Linked DNA regions of Tamandua tetradactyla. The protein of the gene in region 2 binds, or shares a complex with, the protein of the main gene of each other region. Links are inferred from orthologs where the notes say so. Each region holds a gene or a part of one and is shown on either strand. Other genes may lie near its edges. The genes, in order: SF3A1, SF3B5, RBMX2 and HTATSF1.

Region 1 (7,939 bases), on a different chromosome or scaffold from region 2:
AATATCCATATTAAGTGACCCAAAAATTCCTAATACTTTCCCAACTAGCTTCCTTTTCGTAAATAAAGGGTCAAGTCCCTCATCTTAGAAAAATAAGTTTCTCCCCTCCCTTTGTGTTCATTTCTGCTACTAGCTTTCCCCTGCCCTTCCTCTGGTAGCTAAACATCCTGAGTTCTCTCAGTCTTGCCATTCCTACTTCCTGACCTCCCATTTGGTCCCCATCCATTTCACATGCTCTTACCAAAGTCAAAAACAACTGCCTTCAACCAAAAATAACAGTTATCTGGGCATTTGACCAGTGATCACTCCTTTGCAAAGCTCTCCACTCAACTCCCAGACCCCATTTTTTCCCATCTTTCCTTTTTACTTTCTGACCATCTGTGCTGGTTTGAATTTTTTGTGTACCCCAGAAAAGCCAGGTCCTTTAATTCTCATTCAGTATCACTGGGTGGGCTTTTTGATTATCCATGGAGATGTGACCCACCCAATTGTGGGTGGTAACTTTTGATTAGATGGTTTCCATGGAGTTGTGTCACCACTTATTCAGGGTTGTTTACCGGATCCTTTTAAGAGGGAACCATTTTGGAAAAAGTGTAAGAGCCACAGAGCCCACGCAGCCAGAAACCTTTGGCAGTGAAAAAGGAAAACACCCCCCGGGAGAGTTTCTTGAAACATGAAGCAGGAAAAGAAAGCTAACTGACTTTGCCACGTGTCCTTCCAGCTGAGATAGAAACCCCGAACTTCATCAGCCTTCTTTGAGTGAAGGTAACCTCTTGTTGGTGCCTTAATCTGGACATCTTCATAGCCTTGCCTTAATCTGACATTTCCACAGCCTTAGAACTGTAAACTAGCAGCTTAATAAATTCCCCTTTTAAAAAGCCGTTCTGTTTCTGGTATATCACATTCCAGCAGCTTGCAAACTAGAACACCCATCCTATCCAAGTTTCCTTCCTGGCTCCTGTTTCACCTCCCGCCCTCTAAATTTTGAAGACTCCAAATTTTGTTCTTGGTTCTCTTCATGGAATTCCTGCTGTCGTCAGCAAACCACATCTTCTATTTCCCCTATCACACCTAGGCTGAACAATCCCCCCAAAGCAATCTCCTAGCCCAGATCGCAGTTACATGCCACAGAGCTTTCAATCCAACTGACTCCTAAGCACTTTCATCACTGGACCCTTTCCTTTTGAATGGCCTGGCCAGACACTTGGGCTTTCTCTCCCTTTGTCAGCCTCCTCATCTAATCCCTAAGGATAACAACGGCTAACATTTATTAGGCACAAAAATAGGTCCCCAATGCTTAAGTATTTTAAATACATTAACTCTTGTAACCTTTATAAGCAGCCTATGAGGGAGGCGTTCTTATACTTCCCATTTACAGGTGACCAAACTGAGGCATGGAAAGCTTAATTGGCCCAAATGGCAGAGCCAGAATTTGGAAAGAGTACTCTGTGACAAGGGATTGCCCGTCCCCCTTCCTCAAAATCTAAGCCAAGTCTTCAGCAGTTAAAAAAAAAGGACTGTCTTCTGTCATCTTAGCAATTCTCCACACCAATATCTGAATTTCTAAAACACAAATTTGTCACTATCCTGCTTAAAACCCTTCCTATTCACCCCTTGTCTACAAGAAAAAAGGTCAAATCCTCTGAATACCATCTCCTACCACCACCTTCCTCTTTCCCATCCTATGCTCCAACAAAACTTAGATTTACTCTTGACCAGAGGCATCATCTGCTTCCTACCTCACTTCCAAAGTGCCTCTGTGCTTATCGTTATCAGATATTATCTTGTTTATTCTTTCCCAGTGCCTGGGAAAATGCCTGGGACATAGAGGCACTTAATTATTTATGCCAAAGGCATAGACTTCTTCTGTTGTGTTTCAGTTGTATTCTGAACTGAAAGCAGTGGTCAGCATATAGTACGTGTGCAACAACTGTTTGCTGAATGAATGAAAAATTGTATTTCCCTTTCCCAATCATCTACACAGTGAATTCTTATGTATCCTTCTAAAAGCAACTTATTTCACACTCCTATGAACTTTCACTACTTTAACCTCCCCATCAAAGCAATGTCGATTAAATAACCTTCTCATACCGGCCACATACTTCCATTACCCAGTATATCACTCCACGCTACAATTATTTACACACAACTTTCCCCCTCAGCTGATCGAGAGCCTTTTAAAGTTCGGCCTGAACCGTATCATTTTCGAGATGGGGACAAATATCTGTTGAGTATTCATGCCTGTCTGCCTCCATTAGTCGGTGAGTTTTCTAAGGCAGCGGTTGTGCTTCTTTCATTCCAGCAACTTTGGAGGTTGGCATGACGGCTGGCTTAGAATAAACACCAAGGAGATGCTGAGAATTAACACTCAAATGTGGACTATGCAGGCTGGAAACTCAGAAATTACTGGGCAAAGCTAGGGGCAGAAAACCGGGACAGGGGTTGGGTCAGTGTTTCTCAAACTTTAATGTGCATATGAATCACCTTGGAACCTAGTTAAAATACAGATTCTTATTCAGAAGGTCTGGGGAGGGGCCGGAGATTCGGCATTTCTAACAAGCTCCCAGGTGATGAGGCCGATAGTCCGCGGGCCACACTTTGACAATGACCGTTCAGAAGAGGCCTCTTCGCTACCAGAAGGCAGCGCGGCGCAGGAAGCGCGCTGCCTCCTGGGACTTGCAGTCCCTCCAAGCCCTCCACAGCGGCAGCTTCTTCCTGCATGAGTGAGGAGAACCCGCGCTGGAGGGGAGGGTCCAGGCCTAGGCTCGGGTTGTCGATCGAGGTGCGGGGGGCGCGGTACCTGTTTGGGCTCGGCGGCCACGGGCGGCGGAGGAGGCACCGCCTGCACGGGTCCGGCCGGCATGACTGCGACGCTGAGGGCTGCCAGTCCGCCTCGATGTCGATGAACAGTGTGGCGTCAAAACAGAATCCCCGCACGGACGGGACGACGAGCTAGCAAGATGGCGGCGGCCGAGCAGGTCGTCTCCGAGGAGGCAAGGCTGACGCACTTCCTGACACGCCCACCAGGTTCCGGTCCCATCCCCTCGGGCCGAGCTCGCGCGCTACGCCGTTGCCATGGCAGCAGTCCGGGTGCCAGGCTAGGGGTTGCTGCGCATCCAGGGAAGCCGCAGGCGCGCCGGGGGCAGTTCCATGAGCCGGCCAGACACAGGCTGAGGCTGCGACTTCCGAGAGGGGTGAGATATTCTACAGCACCCCGCTGGATGTCCCCGGCACTCACCCCGGGGCCCTGGTCCCCCTCCTTTAGTCTCAGGCCAGTTTCCTTCTCCCTAGACCCCGCCTCCCAAGGCCCCTTCCCATTGACCTCTCACTTTGGAGAGTCCCCTCCCTTACGCTCAGGCACTTCTCAGAGTCCCATTTCCCTTAACCACCTCATTCGCTTCAAGTCCGTCTCCTCCAGCTCCTCCCAACCCTATTCCAAGTCCCCCACACCCTTAATTCCCACGGGCCTGTCTTTTCTGGGTTCAATCCTCTTCCTTCCATAGCCCCACCCTCAGGCCCCACTGGACCGTCTCTTGGTTGCGTTAGACACCCCCCCCCCGCCCCCATCACAACTACTGGTGCGTCCCTGCATACCCCGCCCCTCACTCCCTTGTGGCACACTCAAATCCCGCCCTCCCGGCTTCCTTCTCAAGTGCCCTCATCCCTGTCCCCTTTCCCCTCCCTCCTAGCTCCAGAGCGTGGGGAGGGGTTGCCAAGCCAGTGCTTGAGCTTCACTTTTTCCACCTATTGATAGAAAGCGGTGCTCTCCCACACCTGCTTCCTCTTGAACGCGCGCGCGCGCGCGCGCACACACACACACACACACACACACACACACACACACACACTCGGCTTGTGTCGTCGATGTAGAATGATAACGGTAGTTAGGACTTATTGAGCATTTACCCTGAGCCAGAACCTGTTGGAAACACTCCGTGCATTGTATCATTTATTCTTCAGAGCAACCTGTTCACAGATGAGGTCAGTGAAGTTCAGAGTTGGCAGAATGGAGCTCCAAACCCAGGCCCTTCTGGTAGTGCAGTTAGCTATTCAGTTTTCATCACAAGTTCCTTTCCGTGTCTCCAGGGATCCAGGCAATTAGAATCCCTGGGTCTGAGATGGATTAACTGCCATTTAGATGGTTTTTGGGTTTCCAAGGTTTATTTTTTTAATTTTTTTTATTTTGCAAAATGACATAATACAAAAAAGCAATACATTTCAAAGCATACCTCAACAATTAGTTGCATTTTTAAAAATATTTTTATTGAGATGTCTTCACACATGCACAGTTCATCCAAAGTATACAATCAGTGGATCACAATATCATCACGTATTGTTACTCATCACCATAATTTTTAGAACATTTGCATCACTCCAGAAGAAGAAATAAAAAGAAAAAACTCATACATCCCATAAGCTTTACTCCTCCCTTTCATCGACCACTGAGATTTCAATCTACTCAATTTTTTTTTTACCCATTATCCACCCCATGTTATTTATATATATTTTTTACTCATCTGTCCATATCCAAAGTGTTTTCAAGGTGGTGATCTTGAATCTTAGTGTGCCTACTGGACCAGGAGGGAGGCATAATCTTTACCACTGGGGGTAGGCTAAGAGGGAACAGCTCCTACTGTTCTCTGGTAGGCAAAAGCCAACCTTGAACCCGAGGAGAGACAGAGTCAGCTGCTCTGCCTACCTAGTGGCAGTGCTGACTCCATAAGCGTCCATCCTCTGTGCCATCACATGGACAGTGCATGGTTGGCAGTTTGGGGCTGAAAGTTATACTCCAGGCCCAGGTAGAGAGAAAGACCGTGTCAAATGCTCCCTCACTTGACACACACCTAAGTGATTCTCAAACCAGTCTTATATTTGCATAGCCCCAGTTTTCAGAAGAAACCATATAATTACCTTGTATATTTTTCAATGTTAGATTTTCCTCTTGTATATTCTTCTTGATGCTTTGCATCTACTGATGCTGCTTCTCTGAACTGAAATCTAATGGAAGTTGGTATTGCAATTGGCCCCGGATGGCAGCTGAAGTTATTTGAAGGTGGAACAAAATGGTGTCTTCCATGAGGAAGCTCCATGAGTCCAGGTGCTTGGCACCTGAATACGCCTCCATCTAGATTGGGACCTTCTGCTTGCTTCATTTATCTCTTTCCTCCTACATCCCAGGAAGGAAACATAGAACGTTTCAGTCTGTTTTTTTTTTCTTTCTTTCCTGTTTGTTCCTTATACTTCACTCCTTGGGGGACATGAAATCTTATGGGCAACAGTATCTCACAAGAGGCTGTCGCCAAGTCAGCACTCCAGTACCACTGTGTGTGGGGTGTAGGCCGGTGCTATAGGAGAGTATGTTCATGTGTGCTATGGGGTGGATATGCATTTCCCTTCCTTGGTGATGGAGCCTATGGAGCTCATAGACCCAAGACTTGCTACAGCAGGACCCTCAGACAGAGATGGTATCTCTTTGAGGCCAAAGCTCCATGTACCTGCTTCATCCCTAGTTTCCAGCATGTAGTAGGTACTCAGGCAATGCTTGCTGAATGAATATGAATCTCATATACACTTGCAGTGTCCAATATGTTAGCTGCTGACCTGTGTGGCTATGGGAAATTTGAAATGGTTGCTGGCTTGAATTGAGATATGCTGTCAGTGAGACAGTACAAAAAAAGAATGTGAATTATCTCCTTAATAATTTTTTATTGATTTCATGTTGAAATGATAATGCTTTATTGGTTATTAAGTTAACTAGAATGCACCATCAAAATTAACTTACCTGTTTTCTTTTTATTTTTTTAATGTGGCTAGTAGAAAATTTAAAACCCCGCCTATATAAGAGATTTTAAATAGAGTTGAGAAGTCGTTCTGGAGGTTACTCTTATACAAGCTTCAGCCAGATGTTATAAATTTCCATGGTGTCCCAAGACCCAACCAAGAGTATTCCTGAAAACCGTAAAGAAAACCCAAGATTCTATCTATGACTCTATAAAAGTTTTACTTATTAAATTTATTTTTCAGAAACATAAAACCTCCCAATTGTTCCTGTGCCTGAAACCTAGAGGTACCAGCCTCTCCCGGAATATCAACCATTTGCATCCCCTACCCCATAAGGTTCGACATCCCTTTTCAACATGAAGAAGTTAGAATGATCTTTGCCAAAATATCCCTGAAAATCAGGGGAATGATCAAATGAGAGGGAGGAGTTAATAACAGAGAATTGAGATTTAACAAAGGATTGTGATTACTAAATCATTATATAGAGATTTCTTTGTAGTTTCTAGTGTATTAGAACAGCCAGAAGGAAATACTTGAAATTGTGGAACTGGAACCACTTGAAATTTGTTCTATAACTTGTACTTAGAAGTTTATTACTTTTCTGTATATTTGTTATGTTTCATAGTAAAAAATGTTTTAAAAAAGTTCACCCATAGCTCACATTATATTTCTTTCGATAGTGCTGCTCTAGAAGCTGCATGGACTAAGAACAGAGATACTGGACTCAGAATCCCAGCTTCCTGAGTGACCTTGGGCTAGCCCCATAACTTCCTGGGGCCTCAGCCTCCTCATTTGTGAAGGAGCCAATAACCCCGCCTTCTTTTGCTTGTTGTAAGCATTCAGGGATTGGCACGGAGTAGGCCCTTCAGTCAAAGCTCACCTGGCTGAAGCATGTCCTCTGTGCTCAGCCTCAAGACAAGGGTCTCCCATCACCCCATTCTTCTAGCCTGGAACACCCTCCCCTTCACCTTCTGGACAGCCTGCTCCTGGCCCCCAGGAAGCCCTCCCTGACTGCCCTCTCACTCTCCATTCCCAGGAACTAAACAGCTGCTTCAGTCCGGTTTCTGCATTGGAGAAAGGAAGCTGGCACTCCAATGAACCTCTGGTGCTGAGCCCCGGAGCCCACAGACCAGCCCAAGGGTTGGAAAATTCAGACACTCCAGTTCTAGCCCTGCAGCAGGCACCTGTGCAGAGGTGAGGGCAGGGCCCCATGCTCTGGGAGGTCAGAGATGCCAGCTCAGCCCTTATAAACCACCCCAGGAGCCATGAAGCTTCCCAGCACCTACCAGCCAAGCAGCTGGGTCATATACTACAGTGAACTCAGAAGACATGGTCCATGTACTTGCAGAGGAGACAGACCAACCACCACAAATAACTCCTCAAATAATGATTTAGTTCCACAGGTGATATGTCCTGGAAAGGAAAAGAAAGGGATGATCTGAGAATTGTAACAGAAGACCTGACCTATCTGGGGTACTAGGGGAGCTTGCCTAAGAAGGAGATACTGGGTCGAGCTCCGAGGGATGTTTCTAAAGACTAAGCCTGAGGATGGAGCACACTCTGGGTGGTGAGGTGCTGGGTGGGGGCAGACCACACCGGGCTGAGAGGCCATAGAAACCTGTAAGCCAGGGGATGACTGGCTGTGAGGTGCCTTTTTTTTTTTTTTTTTTTTTTTTTTTTTTTTTTTTTTAAAGGAAAGACAGAGAAGGAAGGAAGGATAGAAGGAAGGAAGGAAGGAAGAAAGGGAAACATTTTTAAACATTTTCTTGTATTCTGTTTCTCCGTTTTTGTTACATGGGCTGGGGCCGGGAATCGAACCGAGGTCCTCCGGCATAGCAGGCAAGCACTTTGCCCGCTGAGCCACCGCGGCCCGCCCTGAGGTGCCTTTTTAAATAATCCATTCAGCTGCTTAATCAGAGTGCATGGGGATTGTGAGGGGAAGAGGTGCAGGTGGCACCTCAGGGAGGCTGCATTAGAGTTCATGGAGAGGAATGGGTGGTTCTCCATGTAGCCTGGACACAGAAACAGCAGCACTTGGTGCTTGGACATGGGAGTGATGGAAAGGGATTTCACGGAAGTGCTGGACTTAGGGTTGAGCCACAGTGTACCCAGTGGTGGTACCATTTTCTGAGAAAAGGGAGGTTGCCCGGCCAAGCTT
Region 2 (5,716 bases):
TCTCATCTTCCAATATTTGCTTATGTCTATAGTTTATCTGGTCCCCCACCCCCTAACCCCAATATCTCAATCCCACCAGTATGACGGAAGCCCCAAGAGCCTGGGGAAAATGCGACATAGACCTCAACACATATTTGGTGAACGTGGAGTGAAGAACGAACTTGTATGGCAGCTTGTCAGTCCTGAAAGCATAGCCACAAAGTCCCACGAGAATGAGGGGTGGCGCTGGACAGCGAGCAGAGAGGGCAACCACAGCAAAGACTTTCAACAGGGGAGGGAAATGCCTTAAGGCATTGTGGGCCTGATCAGAAGGAAAAAAAGGCTTGGGAAAATTCGGGATGGGGGAATATGGTAAAGCTGGGGCCGGAAGGATTTAAGCGTCAGGCAGGGAAGGCTGGCCCCGCGACGCCGGCCGTCTCCTGTTGGGACGCCCAAAGAAACGTCAGCCCCCAAGCCTTCCCAGGACCGCTCCGCTCGAACACAAGGATTCCACACCAAGAAACAGAACAATTTCTAAACTTTATGGTGAAAAGCAAGACGACAATCGACCAGTCACAAAACGAACTTCCAAATCGCAGCCGCCTTGCATCACGCTGGCCGGCTCTAGGCTCTCCCCACGGCCCCAGTGCTCAGGGGTCCCGCCGGCCCCGGAGCGGTGCTCCGAAGGGTCCCCAGGACGGCGGGGCGTGAGGGACGTCCCCGGAAGGCGCCAGTGCGCAAGGGGGGCGTGCGCGGCGGCCCCGGAGGCGGCGGCCCGGCGGGGCTCAGTTCTCCTCGGGCTTGTCGGCCGGCGGCCCGCACGGCTGCAGCATCTTCTCCATCAAGTTGAAGCGGACTCGCGCCTTGCTCTCGTTCTCGGCGATGGCGAAGTAGTTGAGCAGGTCGAAGTGGCCCATGTAGGAGCAGTACGAGTCCCGGTGCTGGTTCACCAGCCACTCCCACTTGGTGGTGTCGGCGTGGCCCGTGCCGATGTACTTGGACTGCAGGTGCTCCAGCTGGCTGTGGATGGTGTAGCGGTCCGTCATGTCGCCGTCTTCCCTCTGCTCCGGGCCAGGGACTGCGGACGAGCAGCAGCGGCCGCTCCGAAGCTTCGCGCCGGGTGGAAGTCGGCTGGGAGCTCGTCGGCGCGCACAGTCGCAAGGCGATGGCGTCACGGCGCCGCCGCCGCCGCGTGGCCTGCCGGCCACAGGTCTCCGAGGCGGAAGCGGAAGCGTGTTCCGGCACCAAATTGGGGTTGCCTAGGCCACGAAGCCACCGCCCCGCCCCTCTCGGGACAGCCCCGCCCCCCGTCGCGTGGCATGATGGGCTTCGTGGCGGCCTGAGGGTGCCTGCATCCGGGGACTCGCGAGCGCCGCGGGCCTGCGCGCGCAGACGCCTGGGGAAGGCCGGGCCCGGGTCGCCTCGGAACCTTAATGGCGGGCGGTGCCTGCCGGGCGGGGAGCCACCTCGTGGGCCGGGGCCGTGGGCCCGGGGAACGGGAGGCGCAAGACGAGGGGCCACAGGCGGCCGGGAGAGGGGCCTCGCGCTGCCGGCCTGCTCGCCGAGCCGCCGCGGCCCCTCCCCGCCACGTCGGGCCTCCTCCCCGCGCTCGCGGCCCGCCCCCGCCGCCCAGCGCGCAGCCCGCCCGGGACGCGCCGTTCCCGCGCCCGGAACGCCCTGGTCCCCTTGGCACGCGCCCCCGCCCTTAGCTCAGCGCGAAAGCATCTGGAAGCCCGCCCTGCCCGCTCCAGACAGCTGCGGCGGCCCCGGCCTCCTCGCGCGAGCGGCTCCTCCTTCCCGCCGCTTCGCCGCCCGGTGTGGGTTTGGGGAAGTTCCCCGGTCGGGCCTGCGCGCCTGCGGCCTCCGCGCGCCCCGGACCTTCGGGTCGGAGGGACAGCCGGACCGCCGCTGAAGAGGGCGGGTTGTAGAGACCTTTAGGGCATTCGTGTTCTGCCTGTTAGGCCGGTAAACATTCCGTTCCTGCGGGCAGAGATTCAAGCCCTATAAATGTCCCCCCGGGTCGCCCCTTTCTGCACGGCGGAGCCTTTGCACGGTGGGGGTCCCCCTTCACGTACCGCAGTGATAGACTTGGCTTCGCTTCGTCAGCAGATTATTGTGATGATCTTTCTGGGAAGTTGGCAGTAATAGGTTAAATCAAGCCTTACAATACCTGTGGGTTTGCAGAGTTATCAAACCTTGTCATTCCCCCCTCCCCCCGACTTTGTTTTTTCTTTGTTAGATACAAATAAACTTGCAATTCTCCGTGTTTCCCCTCCCTAGTATGCTCGCCTCACCACGCTATCGGGGACTTAGAGTTCACCATCCCTCAGCCTGTCTCGTTTGCTGAAAGTGTGTCCACGAGCAATGGGTGGTGCCGTCAGGCAGGTTTTAAGGTTTCGTGTAAGTGGCACGTTGTATGTGCTGTAAATGTTGCTTTAGTCACGCCTCAGTATCCTTTGGATACAATGTATACCTTTAGTTCATTTATACCGTTGTGCAGTATGCCCACTCTGAAGAACGGACATTATTTCCAGATTTTCGTTGTTAGAGACAAAACTGCGATGAATGTTCTCATGGAGACTCATACCTCTTGGGCCTGCACGTGAGGTTAGCCCTGCTGGGACGCAGGCGTGAGTGTTGGCAAGCTCTGCTGGATCCTGCCGAGGTGCTCTCCAGAGTGCGTCTACCGTGCGCGGAATGAGAATCCCTGTCCCTTCACATTCTTCGGACATGTGGTGTCCTGAGACTTTGGGTGGGGTGCGGGTACATGGTCGGTGAATCGAATCCAGGTCTCCTGCATGAAAGACGAGCATTCTACCACTGAACAACCCGTGCGCCCCTGAGACGTTTTAAATTTGCAAATCTGATGCGTAGAATGGAATTCGTTGTGGCTTTCATTAGCATGTCCCTGATTACAAGGAAGACTGGGCATCTCCATACATGTTTACTGTATCCACGTGGATTTCTGCTTCTGTGAACTGCATGTTCATTTCCTTTCCTTTGCCCACTTTCCTATCGGATGATGGTATTTTTCTTACTAATTATTAGGAGATCTTTAAATAACCAGAATATCAGGCTTGCAAGTTATGGGTGACGAAAGTATGTGGTCCTTTATGGTGTCCTTTTTTTTTTTTTTTTACATGGTTACGCAACAGGAATCGAACCCGGGTCCCTGGCATAGCAAGTGAGAACGCTTCCTGCTGAGCCATCGCGGCCTGCCCACTATGGTGTCTTTTTTTACAGAAAATGTAAAGAAATTTTTGTTATATAGAAGTTCTTAAATTTAGTCAGATTTATCAGTCTTCCTTTATGGTTTGGGCTTTTTGTATTTGGTTTAAACCAAATTAAGGAAAACTCTTTTCTGCACTGGGACCATTGAAATAGTCTCTATTTTCTTCTAAAAATTTTAAAATTCTGCGTTTTCATATTTAAGATGAGTCCACCTGGAGATTTGACTTATTTTAAGGATCGAATTTTTAATTTTTCCCCCTATGGGTAGCCAGTCCCTGTAATAACTAATGATTCACTAAACAGTTCACCTGTTCTCTGATCATCTTTAATGCTTCTTTTATATATGTGTGGGTTTGTGCCAGGGCATTCTGGTCCATTGGCACAGGTGGAGGGTCTTGCTATTTTGTAAGATAAGGCAATAAAAGATATTTTGTATCAGGTAATAAAATAGGGGCCAAGCCCTCACAGTTTTCTTCTTTCATAAATGTCTTGGTTAGTCTTTTATATATATATATATAATTTTTTATTGTGAAATATAACATATATGCAAAAGCAATAAATTCCCCAGTACATTTTAACAAGTAGTTTTAGAACGAATTTCAAAGTTTGGTATGGGTTACAGTTCTACCATTTCAGGTATTTCCGTCTAGCTACTCTAAGACACTGGAGACTAAAAAATATCAGTATAATGATTTAGTAGTAATACTCATTTGTTAAATTCTAGGTTCCCTATTGCAACTCCTCCTTCTTCTTTGATCTGGCTCCCATTCTTTAGGAATATTTGGGCAATGACCATTCTAACTTCTCCATGCTGAAAAGGGATGTCGACATTATGGGTAGGGGATACAACTGGTTGATGCTGTTGGAAAGACTAATAACTCCGGGTTTCAGGGCTTATCTGGCTTGGAACCATCTGGAGGTTTCAGATTTCTGAAAAATAAACTTAGTAAGTGAAGCTTTATAGAGTCTTGGAGCCCTGGGTATTTTTTTTTTTTTTTTTTTGAGAATTAAAATTTTATTTCTTTGTAAATTTATCAACAGTGGTTTTAACAGTGCTTGTCTTCTCATCATATAACTTACGATGTGGAGCTACCCTCTTTTCTATGACATGGCAAATTGTAATTCTCCTAAGTTTAGATGAGCATGCAAAATTTTATCCTTTGCACTTTCAATGTCATGAAATGTCTTTAAGAGTTCCTTTCCTATGAAGTTTCTTGCCAGAATCACTTCCTCTGAGACATCTTTATCCTTTTAATCACAACCACTTTCTTCATTTATGTCTACAAGTCACCTTCATGAAGTTCCTCTGGTTGCACATCTAAAGTCTCTTGAGCAGCAGCAGTGTCGACATTCCCACAGTCGGCTGTACCTTCTGTAACTCCATTTCCATTCCATTTGAATCCTGTAAAAGTTTCCTACAGTACTACCCTGCACCACTGCGCAAAACAAGGATTAACTGTAACACTTGGGATCTGAGGCTGAATTTCACCACAGCATCTTTATCTGAACCCACAGCTTCGCCAGATAGCTTAATATTCATCAGTTTAGGCTGACTTCTGAAATGATGAAACCAGCCTTTTCTGACAGTAAAATGTCCTTTTCGGTCTCCTTGTAAAAAACATTTTCTTTCAATGTAGCAACTACCTTCAACGTTTTGGCCTGAATGCTAGTCAAACTGATTGGGATTTGTTTTTCACTACAGTCTTCCATCCAGAGTTGAAGTAAACCCTCCATTTCACCATGAGAGACTTGCTGTTCCTATGTGCAGTTTATGCCAGAAGATGTTAAAGTTACTTTACCTTGTTTTTCTGCATTCACTGGGTTTTTTCAATCTGGTTCATACTGTAGCTTCCTGCAGGGCTGGGTGTCTTCCTATCTTGGCTTTGCTGTCACCACTTTCAAATATTCTGATCACATACAATTTCACTTCCAGCATCATCACTTTGCATTTCTTCATTGCCCCATCATCTTTTCACCTTGACCAATTCCCTCTTTCTGTCATCCATTTTTGTAAAATGTCACTAAGCTTATCACTGGGAGACAACAAGGCTGTGCGTCTGCACACTTTGTTGCTTGTACGTGAATTGGGTAACAGATGCCCAGTGACCAAAGCAGACTGAAGAAATTATGTGATTTGTCATCGATCATGATGCACATTTGTTATTTGCGTAATGATTTATAGACAGAAGAGCACAAAGTCTTTGCGTAATGCAGCTGTTCATAGCACTGTGGTAACTGAAATTTTGACTGCATTTTTGGCAGCCTGGTGTCATCTAACTTAACTGTAGCGCCAGATGTTCACGCATATTGGAACTATGCAAAGCAAGGACTACCTTATTAAATAAATCTTCAAATTTCTGGTTAGATAAATCTCACAAACGATAGTTTTCTAAGAAAAACATCCTTCAGTTTTATTCCTCTCCAGCATATTTTAAGTAATTCACAAGACCCAGGTATCTTTTTCCAGCATCTCCAAGAATAAAATTCCTTCATAGGAATCTTTTTG
Region 3 (7,451 bases), on a different chromosome or scaffold from region 2:
CTGATCACCACTCAATTCAAGATGAAAGTCTGATGTACTACCACACAAAGAGGTAGAAATTATAGGCTGCACCTGCCATGAACTTCCCGAAGCCCCAAAGCTGAAGAAAGCAGCCTCAGTCCTAGCCAGGGCTCTCTGCCTATGTAGGCTGCCCAGGCCCCCTGGCATGGTCTTTATCTCATGTGCACTGCCCAATCCTTTCCCATGGCCTTCTGCCCTATATTGCCACCCAATGATCTGGCCAAAGCCTGCTGCCCCATAAGTTGCCCAACTGCTCTGCCATGGACCTCTGCCTAAGGGACAGCCCAACTGTCCTGATACGGCAATTCCTCCACCAGGTTATGCTGCCTGTGTTTGCTTGCTCAGCCCCTTTTGCCAAGGTCCTCCGTCATGTCGTCCAACCTCTCTGCAAAGGCTCTTAGCCCCAGAGGGCTACACAATCCACAGGCCGTGGGTCTCTGCTTCTGTGAGCTGCAAAGGCTCTCTGGCCCTGTGGACTGTCTAACCACTCTCTTTAGCTCTGGGTTTGTGTGTGAGCTGCCCAACCCTTTCATACTCACTGACACTACTAGTGTGAGCTGCACACACCCTCTCCCACAGTTGCTGCTGCTACCATCTCATAGCAAAATGAAGAATATAAGGTTCTCCTATTCATTCTTTCTCTCATCAGCCTGTGGGTAAAGAGATCAGCTTTGTTCCTTAACCCTACACTCGTCTAGAAACAAAGAAAGCAAACCACCATCTAAACCTTTCACATTTTCCCCCAATTCCTCCATGCTTTGCTCCTAATCCTACAATGCCACACGAGTGTGGGCCCGGAAGGGCCCTGTGATCATGGATTATCCCCAATTTACAGGATGCCAAGGAGATGGGTCCAACATGGTATCTTCCTGGCAGTTCCAGTCTATTCCAGTGTAGGCCCAGGCTGAACACACCTCAGTGAAAAAGCGATAGAAATTTACTGTAATTCCCCAAGATAGCCCCCCAAATTATTCAACCACTAACATCATCTACAGGGGAGAATCCTAAAATCAAATGTCCTGGGACTGCTCTAGACTAGAGCAAAAGCCCTAGTGCTCCCCACTAAAATTCAAATAAATGGCTTTTGTGATGCCATAAAATGTATTATGGAAGCAAACTACTCTGTCCACCCAGGAAGCAAAAAATTTAAGGGAACTTACTGTGAGAACACACAGATGATGTCTCCTTCAGTCAGTTCATAAGGAAGTCCTCCTAGAAGAGGAAACCACATTTCAGTTCAACAGACATTTCTCAAATGTGTACTACAGACCCTGCACTAGGTCAGACATTAAGGGTGTAAAGAAGTGCTTTGAAATTTATAGCTTTTTTATATACATGTTATTTTTTACAAAAAAAAAGAAGGAAAAAAAAGTCAATTGTGATGATAAAAAAAAAATATTTAAGCCCTCTAGCCTCCTGTATTCTGGAGCAGCTAGAAGGAAAAATATGAGAGGATCATATGGTAGTCCATGACAAACTCTGGGATCTGTCCTGTAACTACTTGTTGAAGAGTGCTTTGAAAACTATTGCTTTTTTATTTCTTTGCTTTGTATATGTGTTATACTATACAATAAAAAAGTTAAAAATAATAAAAAAAAAAAGGGTGTAAAGAAGAGTGAGCCACAGGCTCTGCCTTCGAAGAACTCACGGTCTGATACAATGACAGAGGTATACTTAAGGTGCAGAAGTAGTACAGAAAATAGAGTGATTAGCTCTGTGTGCAAAGACCAGGGTCATCATTAACCAAGCTAAACTGATCACTCAGTCCTCCTCACACGCAAAATCGTAGACAAAGCAGATAGTTTACAGCACAAAACTCTGCTTCCACAAACATATCTTGGATTCATCTGCTCTTTACCCACAAATTTATAGCTAAAATCTATAATCCAGTCAATGTTAATATTAATCCCACCCACACAGACTAAGGATTAGAAAAACAACCGTCAACCATTTCATAGGAAACAAATTTCACTTCAAATGTTGCTTTCTTTATCTGTGAAATGGGGATATTAGTACTTACCTCATGAACTTGTTATAAGAATTAAATAAAACAATGCACATAGAGTGCTTAGCACAATCCCTGGTGCAATAAATAATCTCTCTGAACAAAGTACAGAATTATCGGTTACAACACAAGTGAATATAAGGGATGGCAATACGGCCATGGACAGAAGGCAGCAGCTAATCAGATGAGTAGAATAAAATCTAAGGAGTGGGGTTAGTAGTAATATAGGATAGTAGCTAAGTTTAAGACTTTTGAGTTTCAGAATTCCATAGTTTCGATTTACTAGCTATGTTGTTTAAAATTTTTCGGTTAACTTCTTTGCGCCTCAGTTTCAACAGTATATGGGGGGGTGGGGGGATCTCAAGAAGTCCCGTACAAGGTTTTTAGCACAGAGAACAGATAACAGGAATAGTAACTCCCGTGAGTATCGAGGAAAAAAAGGTATGGAAAACGGGTTTAAGGGTGGATAGCAGATGGATAAAAGCGGGTGATGGATGTGGAGAGGAGCAGAGCGAAGGCGTTAGGAAACCGGCCAGAAGCTGAGGAACACAGGGGAGAAGGATGTGGCCCGTACCTAGGAAGATCCATGCGCTGTCCTTGTACTCGGAGTGCCAGGACACGTTATCCGCCACCCCAAGCTGGACCTCCCGCTCATTCAGTTCGTTGATTAACTTCACCTTGGTTAAGGCGCTGCGGGGGGGGCGGGGGGGGGGAGTGCGGAAAAGGAGACAAGTAAGTGCGGCCCAGCCTAAGGGAAGGCAAAACTAGGGCACTAGACTCTCCAGTTACCACGCCTCTCCCTCTCCTTGGAACCGCAGACGCTCGACCGCCCCAGCCCTCGAAGGCCACCCACGGAAGTCCGATCCCGCTTCCTCAGAAGGAAGGTACCGCCTTACTTCATCTCCGCGGCTCGGAGCTTACAACCTGGGCGTTAGCGTCCGGGCGAAGCTGCAAGGCGCATGCGCAGTCCCGGCGCCGCAGCCCATTGGAGTCGGCGGAGCGTGCGGCGGAAGAGGGCGCGCCGACGTGCAGCGCCTGCGCACAAGCGTGGAAAAGGTTTCCTTCGCTCGGTGTCCCTGTCTCTTCTAGTAAGAGAAAAGAAAGTTTTTTCTAGTCCCTCCTCCTTCCCTCAGTGAAATGAGACAAGGGTGTGAGTCTGGTCTATTACAGGGTCCCCAGCTCCTGGATCATACCTCGCACTGGTTGGGTTGGTCTTAAATGTTTACTGAATGAAGAAGATGCCTGATGTGGCGACTTTTGTCCCACTCCAGGTTCGCCTTCCGAGGTCCCGCTCGGGTCCTCACTCCCAGGAGTCACACCCACATACTCATCATGTTTAGAAGTTATGGCACAAAAATGTAGGATATATGTGAGTGAGTAAATCTTTTGTCGTCCCTCAAATCCCAATACATAAGCAACCGACTGTGCTAAATTGAATATCCCAAATTTGTGAGAGCTGCTACGCTCATCCTTTTCCATGGCCTCTTCTACTTAAGCCAAATTAATAGCTAACATTTGAGCAGATAATGTGATAACCAATGCCAGGTTATGTGCTAAGCAATTAACATGTATTGTCTGTCAATTCTCACAACAACCCCATGAAGTAGATACAATTACCATCTCCATTTTATAGATGAAGAAACCGAGGTTCAAAGGAATTAGCTTGAAAGAGACTCCGACTCTGCCCATCCGGTCAGGTTGACTTAATCAGTCCTTGCCTATCACCTTTATCTGTCCTGTACAACTAGAACCTGTAGCTAGGAGTTATGAGGCTAGCCCTATTGCCCCCAAGGAGCTAATAATGTAATTGAGGTGATAAGATATATTTGCCTAATAGAGGTCATTCCAGAAATATCTAGGACCCAGTAGAAGGGATGGTGGTATATAAACCATGAAGGTTTGAATCCATCTTGCATGTCTCCAAATCAGTGACTGGTCTTGAACCATGATGTTTTAAAAGTGAAGATCCAGAGCTATGTAGTTTTCTGTGTAAGCCTAGCTCTGAGCCACAGAAATTAGGCCCTTTATAAAAACATTTTATCGATGATGATGATTTTGAGAACTCTACCCTCAAGTGGTTCACCATGTACACATTTACTGCCAAGCAACAGAACAGAGGCTGCCTACTTATGATAGTGTCTACTCATTCATTCTGTGTCTATCTCCACTCAGCTATTCATTAACTTTGTAGGATTACCTTGGCAATGAAAACTAAACAATGACAGATTGCATGTGGGTTTTATCTGCTCCTGGAAATCTCAGGTTGCTTAGTTGTAGTGTTGAAGTAGCCGCTGCAAAGTGGTAAGCTAGCATGCAGCATTATCTGGTTGGCTTCTTAAAGTAACTATGAATTGAGAATGCTGGGGGTACACCTGGGGCTCACTCATCCACATTTAAAAAGAAGCTGGAACCCAAGAGTAGGGTTGAGACCAACCAAAGGGAAGAACAATTAAGATTGAGGAGAACATAAGAAGACTGTTGCTCTTGAGGTGGTGGATTCAGCAGTGTGTTCTGAAGCTGGGAGAGCTGATAACCATCCTGGTTTGCCCAGGAGTGAGGACTTTCAGTGGTAAAATTTGAAAATCCAGAGCACATTGGGAGGGTTGATCACCCGAGGAGAGCCTGAAATAGGTAAAAAAGCCGTGTTAGATTCTCCATGGATATGCTTCCAGTTAGTAGAAAATATTGTAAAATAATGCCTGGAGATTTCCATAAGTCAGAGATAAAAGGGGGCAGAGGTCCAGAGGAGGACACAAGGAGGACCAGGGTTTGCCATCCAAGGTTGCGATTGGTGATCTCCACCAATAACATTCATGTAACACCTATTGTATGCAGAGCTCAGATCTAGGTTTGGCAGGCAATGCTAAGAAAGCAAAAGGCAGGACTAAACAAATGCAAGGAAGGACTAAACAATTTGGCTAGCCAAAGTTATCTCTCCACTTCCCCAAATCACACCACACTCAGAAGCAGCTTTTCCTCCTGACTTCCATAGTTTGGGCAACACTAACATCATTTTTATCAAAACCATGGGTGTCACGTTTCAGCATTCACTTTTTCTCACCCCGAGAAAACCATCCAATTATTCACCAAGTCCTAAAAATTGTACCACTGCAGTATCTATAAAATGCATCATTTCCAGTTATCATCTTACTCGAAGTCATTATCACATACCTCCTAGCTCTTTATTTTTAGCTATCAAAATCTGCATTTTACTAAAAATAATATCTTAAAAAATGTTTACTTATACACTAATAAAGTATCAGTGTCTGAGAGAGTTCAAATAAAGTTAAGAGGCTACTCTGGAAGTTAGACATTGTTACCTATTATTTAGACCTTGCTACCTATCATAACTTCCCAACCAAAACCATTCCCAGCCAATCCTAAAGAACACCTAGGGCAATATATAAGATTCTACAAAGGTTGCATGCACTAGGGTAACTTTCCAGAACCCTACAACCTCCAGATTGGTCCCTGGACAAGATAAGTCCTGAAACCTAGAGGGCCCAGCCTCTCCAGAACAACAGCTAGTTCCATCTCCCTACCCCATATTATTGACAGCCCCTTCCAACATGAAAAAGTTAGAATAGGCAAAGCCCAAATACCCCTAAAGAGTGGGATAGAAAGATCAAAGGTGATAGTGGAGAAGGTAGGGTTTAACAAACAAATTTGATCGCTGAATCATTCTATTGATATTTCCTTTAGTCTCCAATATCTTAGAGCAGCAAAAAATAAAAACCTAAAATTGTGGAATTGTAACCCATACCAAACTCTGAAATGTGTTCTACATCTAATTGTTGTGTTGTGCTTTGAAATTTATTGCTTTTTTGTATATAAGTTATTTTTTACAAAAAACAAGTCAATTGTGATGATAAAAAAAAATATGTATTCCTTCTAGCCTCCTATATTCTGGAGCAGCTAAAAAGAAAAATCTGAGAGGATGGCATGATAGCCCATGACAAACTCTTGGATCTGTCCTCTAACTACCTGTTGAAAAGTGCTTTGAAAACTATTGCTTTTTTTCTTTTTTTGCTTTGTATATATGTCGTATTATACAATAAAAAAAGTTTAAAAAATGTTTTTCTCATACAATATATGCAATACATGCTGTTTTCCATCCATTTGAGTTCTTCAGCTGGCATCAAACTCTTAGTCTCTGCCATCTCTGAACAGAGGCAGTTGCAGTCTCTGAAATCTCAAAGATCTTCACAGTCTCATCCCAGTCCTGGTAAATCAAAGCTATAATTCCTTGATTCCTAATCTGGGTGTTTTGGTCAATTCCCTCACTTTCTTCATTAATATTAACAGGCTCTATTATTGGGGCAGTCAGTCTTGGTTAAGTCTTATCTTGCAAAACCATCCCTTAGAATGAAAGCAATATGAAAGATGTTTTCTGCTGTACAGGAAATGAATGTGGATCAACCACAAAGTCAAAGAATGCCATAGTTGTATCAGGATCTTCTCAAAAATAGGTTTGCAAAAATCCCAAGATTCTTTCCACTTCTTTATTCTATGCTTCTTGATGAGATTGGTGTATCAGGATCTTCTCGAAAATAGGTTTGCAACAATCTCAAGATTCTTTCCACTTCTTTTTCTGTTGCTTCTTGATGAGATTTTTCCATTCTTTTTAACTGGGCTGGCAATGCTCTCTTTCTCTTCTATCATGCAAACTTTCTTTGGATAATAGATGTTTGCCTTTGGTACAGGTAGCTCTCCTTGTTTTGAACCCAACAGAAAGTGGAATATACAGGTTTTATTAAAGGTGTTTTCTGCTGTTTTGCCTGATATTTTCTAGGAGTCATAGACTATGAGTTCAAAATCAGAACTATCTTCATCACGGATGAGTTCTTCAGCTTCTAGCAGATTTACACCCATTTGTGCCAATGGAGTTCAGCATATCTTAACATATCAAAGGAATTGAGATCAGAGCGCAGCTACGTTGCTTTCTCTTTTCCCAAATCTGAAGCCAAAAGAAGAAGCATCTGGAACTGCTTCTCTTGCACAGGATACTCCATTAAACAGAGTGTTGGCCTCTTCAAGGACCTCTGTTAGTTTGTCACTGGCATTTTTTTTTTTTTTGGATGGAGTTGATGAGCATCTGGTACTGATAGCAGATCTGGCAGCACAGGCCATGGTCAGTCTGTACCTCCAAGCTGGCTGGGTCCACCCTTTCATCCCCCAAATCCAACAGTTCTGCTTTCTCCAAACTCAGGCACTCCTGGGCCTTCCTGCGCTCCAGCACCACACTACAGCAGGACCTGGTAACAGCAACAAGCAGCAAGTAGCTGTAGGAGTGGCTGCAATCCCTGTGCAGGTCCAGCCCAGTCCTTGGCCCCTCCGAGCTCTTTAAATACTCTTATACTCCCCCCAGCTCCTATTCTCCAGTCCTTTCTCTCTCTGCTCCCACGCCAGGCTTCACATCTATAGA
Region 4 (7,691 bases), on a different chromosome or scaffold from region 2:
CTCCCAGAAAGGATTTTTCCAGAATACAGGAGGCTAGAAGGAATAAATATATTTTTTTATCATGACAATCAAACTTTTTTTCTGTTTTGTGAAAAATAACATAAATACAAAAAAGTAATAAAATTCAAAGTACACTGCCACATTAGCTGTAGAACATATTTCAGAGTTTGGTATGGGTTACAATTCCAAAATTTGAGGTTTTTACTTCTAGCTGCTCTAACATAATGGTGACTAAAAGTCATATCAATTTAATAATTCAGCAATCATATTCATTTAGAAAATCCTAACTTCTCTGTGTAACTCCACCATCAACTTTCATCTTTCTATTCCTCTCTTTAGGAGTATATTTGGGCTACGGCCCTTCTAACTTTTTCATGTTGGAAGGGGCTGGATCATGACGCTATCTTAAAAAAAACAACACTTCTTATTATTCCTTCAAAGCTACCACAAATTCTCCCAAAAATTAACTATATATACATGTACATTTTTACTTTGAAACTCATGTTTTTTTGCAAACTAGAAACACTTGCCTGAATCAGCCTTTCTTTTTTCTCCCCTCTTTTTGGGATCAGTGGGTTCAGGGGCCTTTTTTTGTGAAGGTTCCTCTGCAGTCCTAGCACTCATATCTTGTACAGTTGCAGTAGAGCTAGAGGCGCCATTATTAGAGAAGCCATAATTGGCCTGATATGTTGCAATGAAATCTTCAGTAATCTGAACAAGAGATTCAGCACATACACATAAGAAATGCAAAATTACTTCCTCCCACACAAAGTCTAAACTATATTAAATCACAGCATATTCAGTTATACAAATTAACATAGAAGTGTTTCTGTGACACTTAAAGTATAAATGCAAAATTTGTCATCTTATATAGGGAAACTGCATAAACTGAAAAAAAATAAGGCACAGGCCCTTGGATAGCAAAAACAAGCATGTGAGAAAACATTAAGATACTTTTAAGTGAAGTTAATACCTTTAATATTGTTTCATTTATAAATTAGAACATCTACTTAAACAAAGCTACAAGTACATATAATGAAGTACCAGATAACAATAGGATAAAAATCGAGAGACAACTAATAATCTAACCATAAAATCAATTTATGTTACTATAAAGATGCACAAATACATGTATATTCTAAGTATTTAAATATTTGTATGCAGAAAGCACGTAGACTGGAATCCTGATTCAATGAATAGAAATAAAACTAACAATTGCAAAACTATATGCTCACTTTAACTCTATCACTAATTAAATCACATTATCATTTAGCGGCAGAATAAATTAAGGACAAACCCAACTCACATCTATGTACCGTGCCTTTAGGGGATATAAAAACACAATGAAAGAATTGTACTTGTATCTTCATACCAGTCAATGTTAGGCACACAAAGGAATAGGGAAAATTTAAACTCAAAGTTTGAAAAGATACAGGCTTTCATAGCATAAAATACCAAAGATAGAGTTACAAATTAATTCATTATCAGATTACTGTTAAAAGTACTACTCAGAGCAGTGCAACAGTGGCTCAGTGGCAGAATTCTTGCCTGCCATGCCAGAGACCCGGGTTCGATTCCCGGTACCTGCCTACGCATTTAAAAAAAAGTACTTCTCAGAAGGCTGAAAAAACCACATCTGCACTCCAGCCAGCACTATCAGTATAGAAGTGAAAAAGTAATTTAACAGTTGGTAAAAATCGGTACATATACACAAATACAAAATGGAAAAGAAAAAAAATTTAAATAAATTTTATTAAATAAGTCAAATTACACAATGGAGACATGTTTTTTATTATTGGCTTGCCAGAGTGCTATTTCTATTTTTTTTTTCCTACCCATGAGACTCAGGTTAACATAGTACTTTCACCGCCATGCTTACAGAATCAAGCTGAAGACTAGTATTTTTCTTCCAAGCTTAAATAAAACACCTAATAATTTCCAAGTATTCCAAACACATATAGACAGATCTTTGCCATCCATATTCTGTGCATCTCTTGTCACAGTTCTGCAGTTACATGCATCAGAGAGTCCAAACCTAGGGGCCAAATTTAGTAGAAAAGAGCGGTGCAGACAGTCCAATCAATAAAGATACATAAACGGCTATCTTTTTCCTTAAATCAAGAATTGCATTTTGCGCATGGTACATAAACTAAAAATGTGAATTCCCAGGATAAGTGAGGGTAGCAACGAGAGATGAACAGCTACTGTATCTGTTCTTGGTATTTTTCCTCTTTGCAATAAAAAGCAGTCACGGATGTAGTAACCAACTGTGACCTCCACCGATAAAATTAGTAAGGCAGAGAAGAGATTTAATTACATTTAAGACATTTCCCTAAAGATTACGTTCCTCTACACATCGGTTCTGCAATAGACAACAACAAAACGAAACGTCACTATCCACGGGGGCTAAAACCAAAGTTCTCACTCAGTAAAGAAAATGTAAAAGAAGTGCCCCGTAAGGCTGGCCAGGCGGGCCCACTCTGCAGTGGCGCCGGTGCCACTTTATTACCTTGGGGAACCAAGCCTTCTTGTCCAAATCCCACTCGTAGGGGGTGTCGGCCGGCTGCTGCTCGCAAGCCTCAGTTTCTTCGCCAGGATCTTCTTGGTTACTGCCGTCCTTGCTGTCCCCGTACAATTCTTGCATTCGCAACTGCTCATCAAACTCGTCGTTCCCATCCAAGTTGTTGCCGCTCATGTTTCCTACCTAGCCCAGCGGCAGGGTCCAAGCGAGTGAAGAGGCCGCGAAGCGAGATGACGCTGGAGGCTAGTAGAGAAAGAGAGGTCCGCCCCGGTGGCCCGCGCACGGCCGCCCCACCCCGCCCCCGGCGCCCAGCAGCCCCCGGGAGACGGGTGCCCCCTAGGTGGCCGCGCCGCCCCCAGCTCTGCCCGGCCTCCAGCCCGCGCGCGCTGATGCTCCCAGCTCGGTCACGCCGCCGCCCACCTGGTTCACTCCGCCGGGCCTCGGCGCCGCGGCTCTGTCCAGGGCGCGGCGGAAGCGCGCGCGCGCCACCGCCGCCGCCGCTGCCGCCACGGAGCGGGTCTGAGGCGACCGCGGCTCCCGCGGCAACGTCAGGAAATTGCTTCAAAACGGGGCCCCGCTCAGCCTGACGCAGTCGCCATTGTGGGCGCGTCGCGACGTCGCGGTTCGCGCCGACACGCCCCCAGGCGGCGTCCACATGCGCCGACGCGCAGGCGTGCGGGCACGGCGTGGGGTCTTGGGCGCGGGGGGGCGGGGCGCCAGGGAGTGCGCTGCGCCCGCGCGTGGACGCCCACTGGGCCCGCCTCTGGGCCGGGGGTGGCCGCGCGGCTCCCGCAAGACCTCGGAATCTCAGCCGGCTGCCGGGTGGGTCGGCTCGCGTGGTTCCCAGAAGGCGTGGGAATATTCCTCCTAGGCGGGCGCCATCTTGGAGAAGTGGGCGGGGCGGGCAGGACCGGCTACTTTCGCAGTGGGAAAAAATCGTAACCCTTTCGCCCAGAGGCCTTTCCCTCCCACCTAGTCGTGTCTTTTATTTATTTATTATTTCCCCAGCCTAGGCGCCTGCTCTTGTCATCTTGGTATTCCAGGCGCCTAGCGCCAGGGTATTGGTGCCTAATCCATGTCGAGTGAGTGAATGAACGAATGAACGATGGGTGGAAGGACCAACCTCCTTTCCACTTCTCAGTCACCTCCTTTATCTGATCTTACCTTTTTCCTGCTGGAGATAAACTCTGGGAAACTGAGGCGGGGCTGCAGTTGCTTGTATCTTGTTCTCCAGGATTCAGGAGTGCTCAGGGCCAAAACATGAAACTTGAACGAACATCCAAGCGTCAGTATCAGCTTTAGTAGCCAACTGTAATTTTGGCTTTCTTTTAGAAAGACGCAGTACGCTTTGCTCTAAACAACCTTTTTTCCCCCTGAAAATGGTGAGCCCATCTTAAGTGGTGCAAATACGAATTTTTAATTGGGCAAATAGTTACTGAACTCGTACGAGGCGCCAGGCACCTGACTCGCCCCTGGGGACCCAGGGGTTAACAGGACGGGCACTGCTTAGGGAAGACAGGCTTATGTTGGTTGGTAAATGTTATCTTGAAAGTACCAGACGCTGGAGAACAGCGTTTCTCAAAATTTTCATCTCAGAACCCCTTTACACTAAAAAACTATTGAGGACCCCAGAGAGATTTTGTTTATGTGGATTGTATTTGTCAATGTTTGCTGAAAACATTTTTTAAATATCTATTGATTCATTTAAAAATAATAATAAACCCATTGTGTGTAAGCATAAATATAACCCAGACTTGAGGGTGAGGAAAGTCTTCCCAGAAGAAATTATTTCTAGTATTCCACTGACCTTTGCTTCTAAACATAACAGCTGAGTGTGGATTCTAGAAAATCCTGCATCCCTGCATATAACAGTCGTGTGAATCTATGGTTTCAACCATAGCAAAGTTTTAAACTAGCAGTTTGATTTTTTCAATTATATTTCTTTTTCATAAAATTCCTGTTTGCATACATTTTTATTATATAGATAACACGAGGTTTGTTAGACTCATTTAAACATTGCTAAATATTTCTTCCTGGATTCAAAAATAGTATACAGCTGTTTTCAGCAATGTGTTATTGGGCTCCCATTTCATTCCTGAGTTTAATGGTAGGTGCTGATATTGTGCATAGCTCTACTGCACGTGAAGCTCTGAGTGCGTGCTGTGCCCACAGCCCCGTTCTCAGCAGGTAGCCAAAAAGGTTCCATATGCCTAGTTCCCATGTAACCCAGCTGCCATAGCCCAAGGGCTGGCTAGGGGCCTGTGAGTTCATCTAGCTGGGTAGCTCTGCATTCTAGGCTATATTTGACTGAGCCAATACGGTTCTCTCTCAGGGAGTTTGAGCATGAAACATACGGAGAGGGATGTTGTCAGGGTAGCACAGAAGCTGAGATACCCACAGGGAAGGCTGAAATGAGTACAGGAGGCCTGCTGTTCAGAATTTCCCCTAGAAGTGAGAGGAAAAGTCAAAGCAACAACAGAGGGTCACTGAGACCCCATAGTAACAGGGCAGTGGGGTTGGGAACTAAGTACACTTGTACCTGCAATGACGTTCTGTATGGCAATGAGAACTGACAGTTGCATTTCTAACGTTAGCATTTTGTGGCGTGGTTCCTGTTTGTTCTTATTTCCCTGTGTATTGTAGAATAACTCCCTAGTAAGTGATGTAATCTGTCTTTGCAACCTTTCTTTCTCAACATTTTTCTCCAAGTCTGAGAAGTATTCAAGGTTAACAAGCAAAAGGCGAGGTGGGGAGGGGGGCGGCTGAGAGGGGAGCTGAAACTCAAAGACTGGAATGTAGATTGGCCTCTTCAAGGGGCTACTGGACCCAGGAAGAGGAACAAATTGAAACCCAGACAGTCTGCTTTTCTCTGAATATCTGCTTTCTTCTTTTTTCTCTAAGTTTTCAAGGGTGATTTGTGTGGTACTCCAGTCCTGTAGGCTACAGCCTTCTTGGTGGATAAAAAAATGCATTAATCTACAAAAGCAGAGACGGCTGGTTGAAAAAATCACCTATCTGGCCTAGGAACTGTCTCTGGGAAATTACTGAACTTACCAAACTAGACTTTTTTTTTTAGTGGTGCTGTTAAGCCCATTCTGTTCAGGAATTTTTCTGTCCCCACTTCCTGTAATCCCAAAATTTAGTGGAAATGAAAGTAACTCCTTCTGAAACAAAAAATTTGGAGGACCCTTGACCTAAAATGGTTAAAACTGCACAAAGTATTTAAACCTAAATTTGCTATTCTCAGCATGTATGTCAGTGGTAAATGTTTTGCAATGCTTTCAAGTTCAATGTTAGGGACTGGCTCACTGAACGAATTGATTATACCTAACTTTGTGACCTTGTTTTCATGCTTTGTAGTGTATTATTATGTTCCATTATTCAAAGCCTTGGGTCAGGGAAGACCTTGAGCAAAACTGAGAAGCACATTAAATTTGTTTCTCATGAAGCCCACGTCTTCTCCATTTAGGACCTTCTCCAGGGAAATGGTGCCACAATAGGCAATGTAAAAGAAATTTTGTAGATTGGAGCCTGTTTGCAAGGTTAGCCCTGACAAGGATAATCTGTTAAAAACAAGAACAACAACAAAAACCCAACCAACCCCATTCCCCCAAAATCGACAAAACAAAACCATGAATTTTAAATGCGACCCCCCAACTTTGGATGGGAAGCTGATGCCCTATAAAATCACTTAGGGAATTATTTTAAATCAGATCCCTAAGTCACTTAGGGAACACTGAGAATGAAGAAAGTTCTTTGAGCTCCATTTTTATCAGCTGCTAAAAGGTTGTCTTGGCTTTTGTAATCTGGTATTATCAAGCTTTTATTTCTAAAATGTCACACCTAGGGGAATGAAGATGTACACTTTTACTCTGAGTGAGGAAAATAATGAATATATTTTTGCATACTGTGACTCGAATATAATTTGAATTTTGAAACTAAAATGGGTGGTCAGTTATATTCTTTCAGAAGTATTGTTTTTAGAATAGAAAGTTACAGAAAGTCATTCAAAACTTTATTTCATATTTATTTTGTCCCTCTCCCCCCACTTATTACAGTGTCCATTTTGAAACAATAATAATACAATATAGGCACCTCCACTTTAAGTAAACCAGTTTTACAGAAATTTAAAGTCTAGTGTTAATATATATCCCCCTTTTGAGCCACAGGATTAACGAAAGTTCACAGTTACACAAGCCATTTAAAACGCAAAACTACCAAAAGCACGCCCAACAATCAAGTTTTTAAAAATACAGTATTAACAATTATACCAAGTGTATGCTTTAATTTGCCCCAACAAAACACTTTCTGAAAGTAACACAAATCTAAGTCTGACATGTCTGTTGACAATAGTTGTTTGAAATAATCATTAAGAAGCTTATAGTGTTAGCAAGTAGGAGCTAAGGATAGAAAATCAGAACCTTCCATCTGATTTCCAAGGGCAGATTAGGCCATACTCCTACGGGACTTAGGCACACATTGGGTTAATAGAGTTGAGCAGGAAGATGATATGATAACGACTGCACACCTAGGTATTAGGTATTTCATGTGGCACTTCTGCATTTTTTAAGAAAGAGGGCACTGCTTGCCAGAGAGAAATGAATTCTCATAAAGGACGTTCAGACACTGGGGCAGGCTTGAAGATTTTTAGATGGGGGTACTTCTCAAGGGCCCTCAAATTCCACCGTGTACGTGGTCACTTATTCTGACTGTGAATAAGGCAAGTTCTTCACAATGTTTGTGAAAAAATAACTTTGCCTCATTATCAATCACTGGCAGTTGTAAGTAGGACTGCATTGAGTTAGTAAGTGTTGCCCATTAAAGCAAGAACTCCACCCCGGATTCTTAGTACTTTATACTTGCCGACCCCCAAGTATTTTCATTTTAATCGCACAAATTTAGTTATAGTAAAATAGAGATGAATAGTCATTCTGTAAAGATCTTTTCTTTTTAGCAAAGTATAATCTCTAGATTCGCACTACATAATAAACACAAACACAATTGTAGGCAAATCACATGAGTATATGAGAAATTAGAAGCATCACAGAGGTGGTGGAAATAAATTCGATTTTTAATCTTCATCTCATTTATTCCGTTCACCGTCCCTCCTATTTGATCTCCCTCACAACCCACTAGCACATACCAACGTGTCTTTCTAGACGTAATGTGT

Evidence for each region.
Region 1: SF3B5 (region 2) and SF3A1 share a complex: the UniProt entries of both Homo sapiens proteins name them as parts of the 17S U2 SnRNP complex. The link is inferred for Tamandua tetradactyla from reciprocal best matches to the Homo sapiens genes SF3B5 and SF3A1.
Region 3: SF3B5 (region 2) and RBMX2 share a complex: the UniProt entries of both Homo sapiens proteins name them as parts of the minor spliceosome. The link is inferred for Tamandua tetradactyla from reciprocal best matches to the Homo sapiens genes SF3B5 and RBMX2.
Region 4: SF3B5 (region 2) and HTATSF1 share a complex: the UniProt entries of both Homo sapiens proteins name them as parts of the 17S U2 SnRNP complex. The link is inferred for Tamandua tetradactyla from reciprocal best matches to the Homo sapiens genes SF3B5 and HTATSF1.

The regions. Positions count from the first base shown.
Region 1 is NC_135331.1:32,554,997-32,562,935, reverse strand, and holds the start of SF3A1 (splicing factor 3A subunit 1), read right to left. Parts: upstream 3,005-7,939; 5' UTR 2,864-3,004; coding exon 2,801-2,863; exon of another isoform or gene 2,709-2,800; intron 1-2,708. UniProt on the Homo sapiens protein: Component of the 17S U2 SnRNP complex of the spliceosome, a large ribonucleoprotein complex that removes introns from transcribed pre-mRNAs.
Region 2 is NC_135351.1:43,423,192-43,428,907, forward strand, and holds SF3B5 (splicing factor 3B subunit 5), read right to left. Parts: upstream 1,163-5,716; 5' UTR 1,026-1,162; coding exon 765-1,025; 3' UTR 501-764; downstream 1-500. UniProt on the Homo sapiens protein: Component of the 17S U2 SnRNP complex of the spliceosome, a large ribonucleoprotein complex that removes introns from transcribed pre-mRNAs.
Region 3 is NC_135353.1:33,109,272-33,116,722, forward strand, and holds the start of RBMX2 (RNA-binding motif protein, X-linked 2), read right to left. Parts: upstream 3,001-7,451; 5' UTR 2,928-3,000; coding exon 2,923-2,927; intron 2,717-2,922; coding exon 2,601-2,716; intron 1,234-2,600; coding exon 1,182-1,233; intron 1-1,181. UniProt on the Homo sapiens protein: Involved in pre-mRNA splicing as component of the activated spliceosome. As a component of the minor spliceosome, involved in the splicing of U12-type introns in pre-mRNAs.
Region 4 is NC_135353.1:22,881,493-22,889,183, forward strand, and holds the start of HTATSF1 (17S U2 SnRNP complex component HTATSF1), read right to left. Parts: upstream 3,013-7,691; 5' UTR 2,942-3,012; intron 2,765-2,941; 5' UTR 2,696-2,764; coding exon 2,510-2,695; intron 712-2,509; coding exon 531-711; intron 1-530. UniProt on the Homo sapiens protein: Component of the 17S U2 SnRNP complex of the spliceosome, a large ribonucleoprotein complex that removes introns from transcribed pre-mRNAs.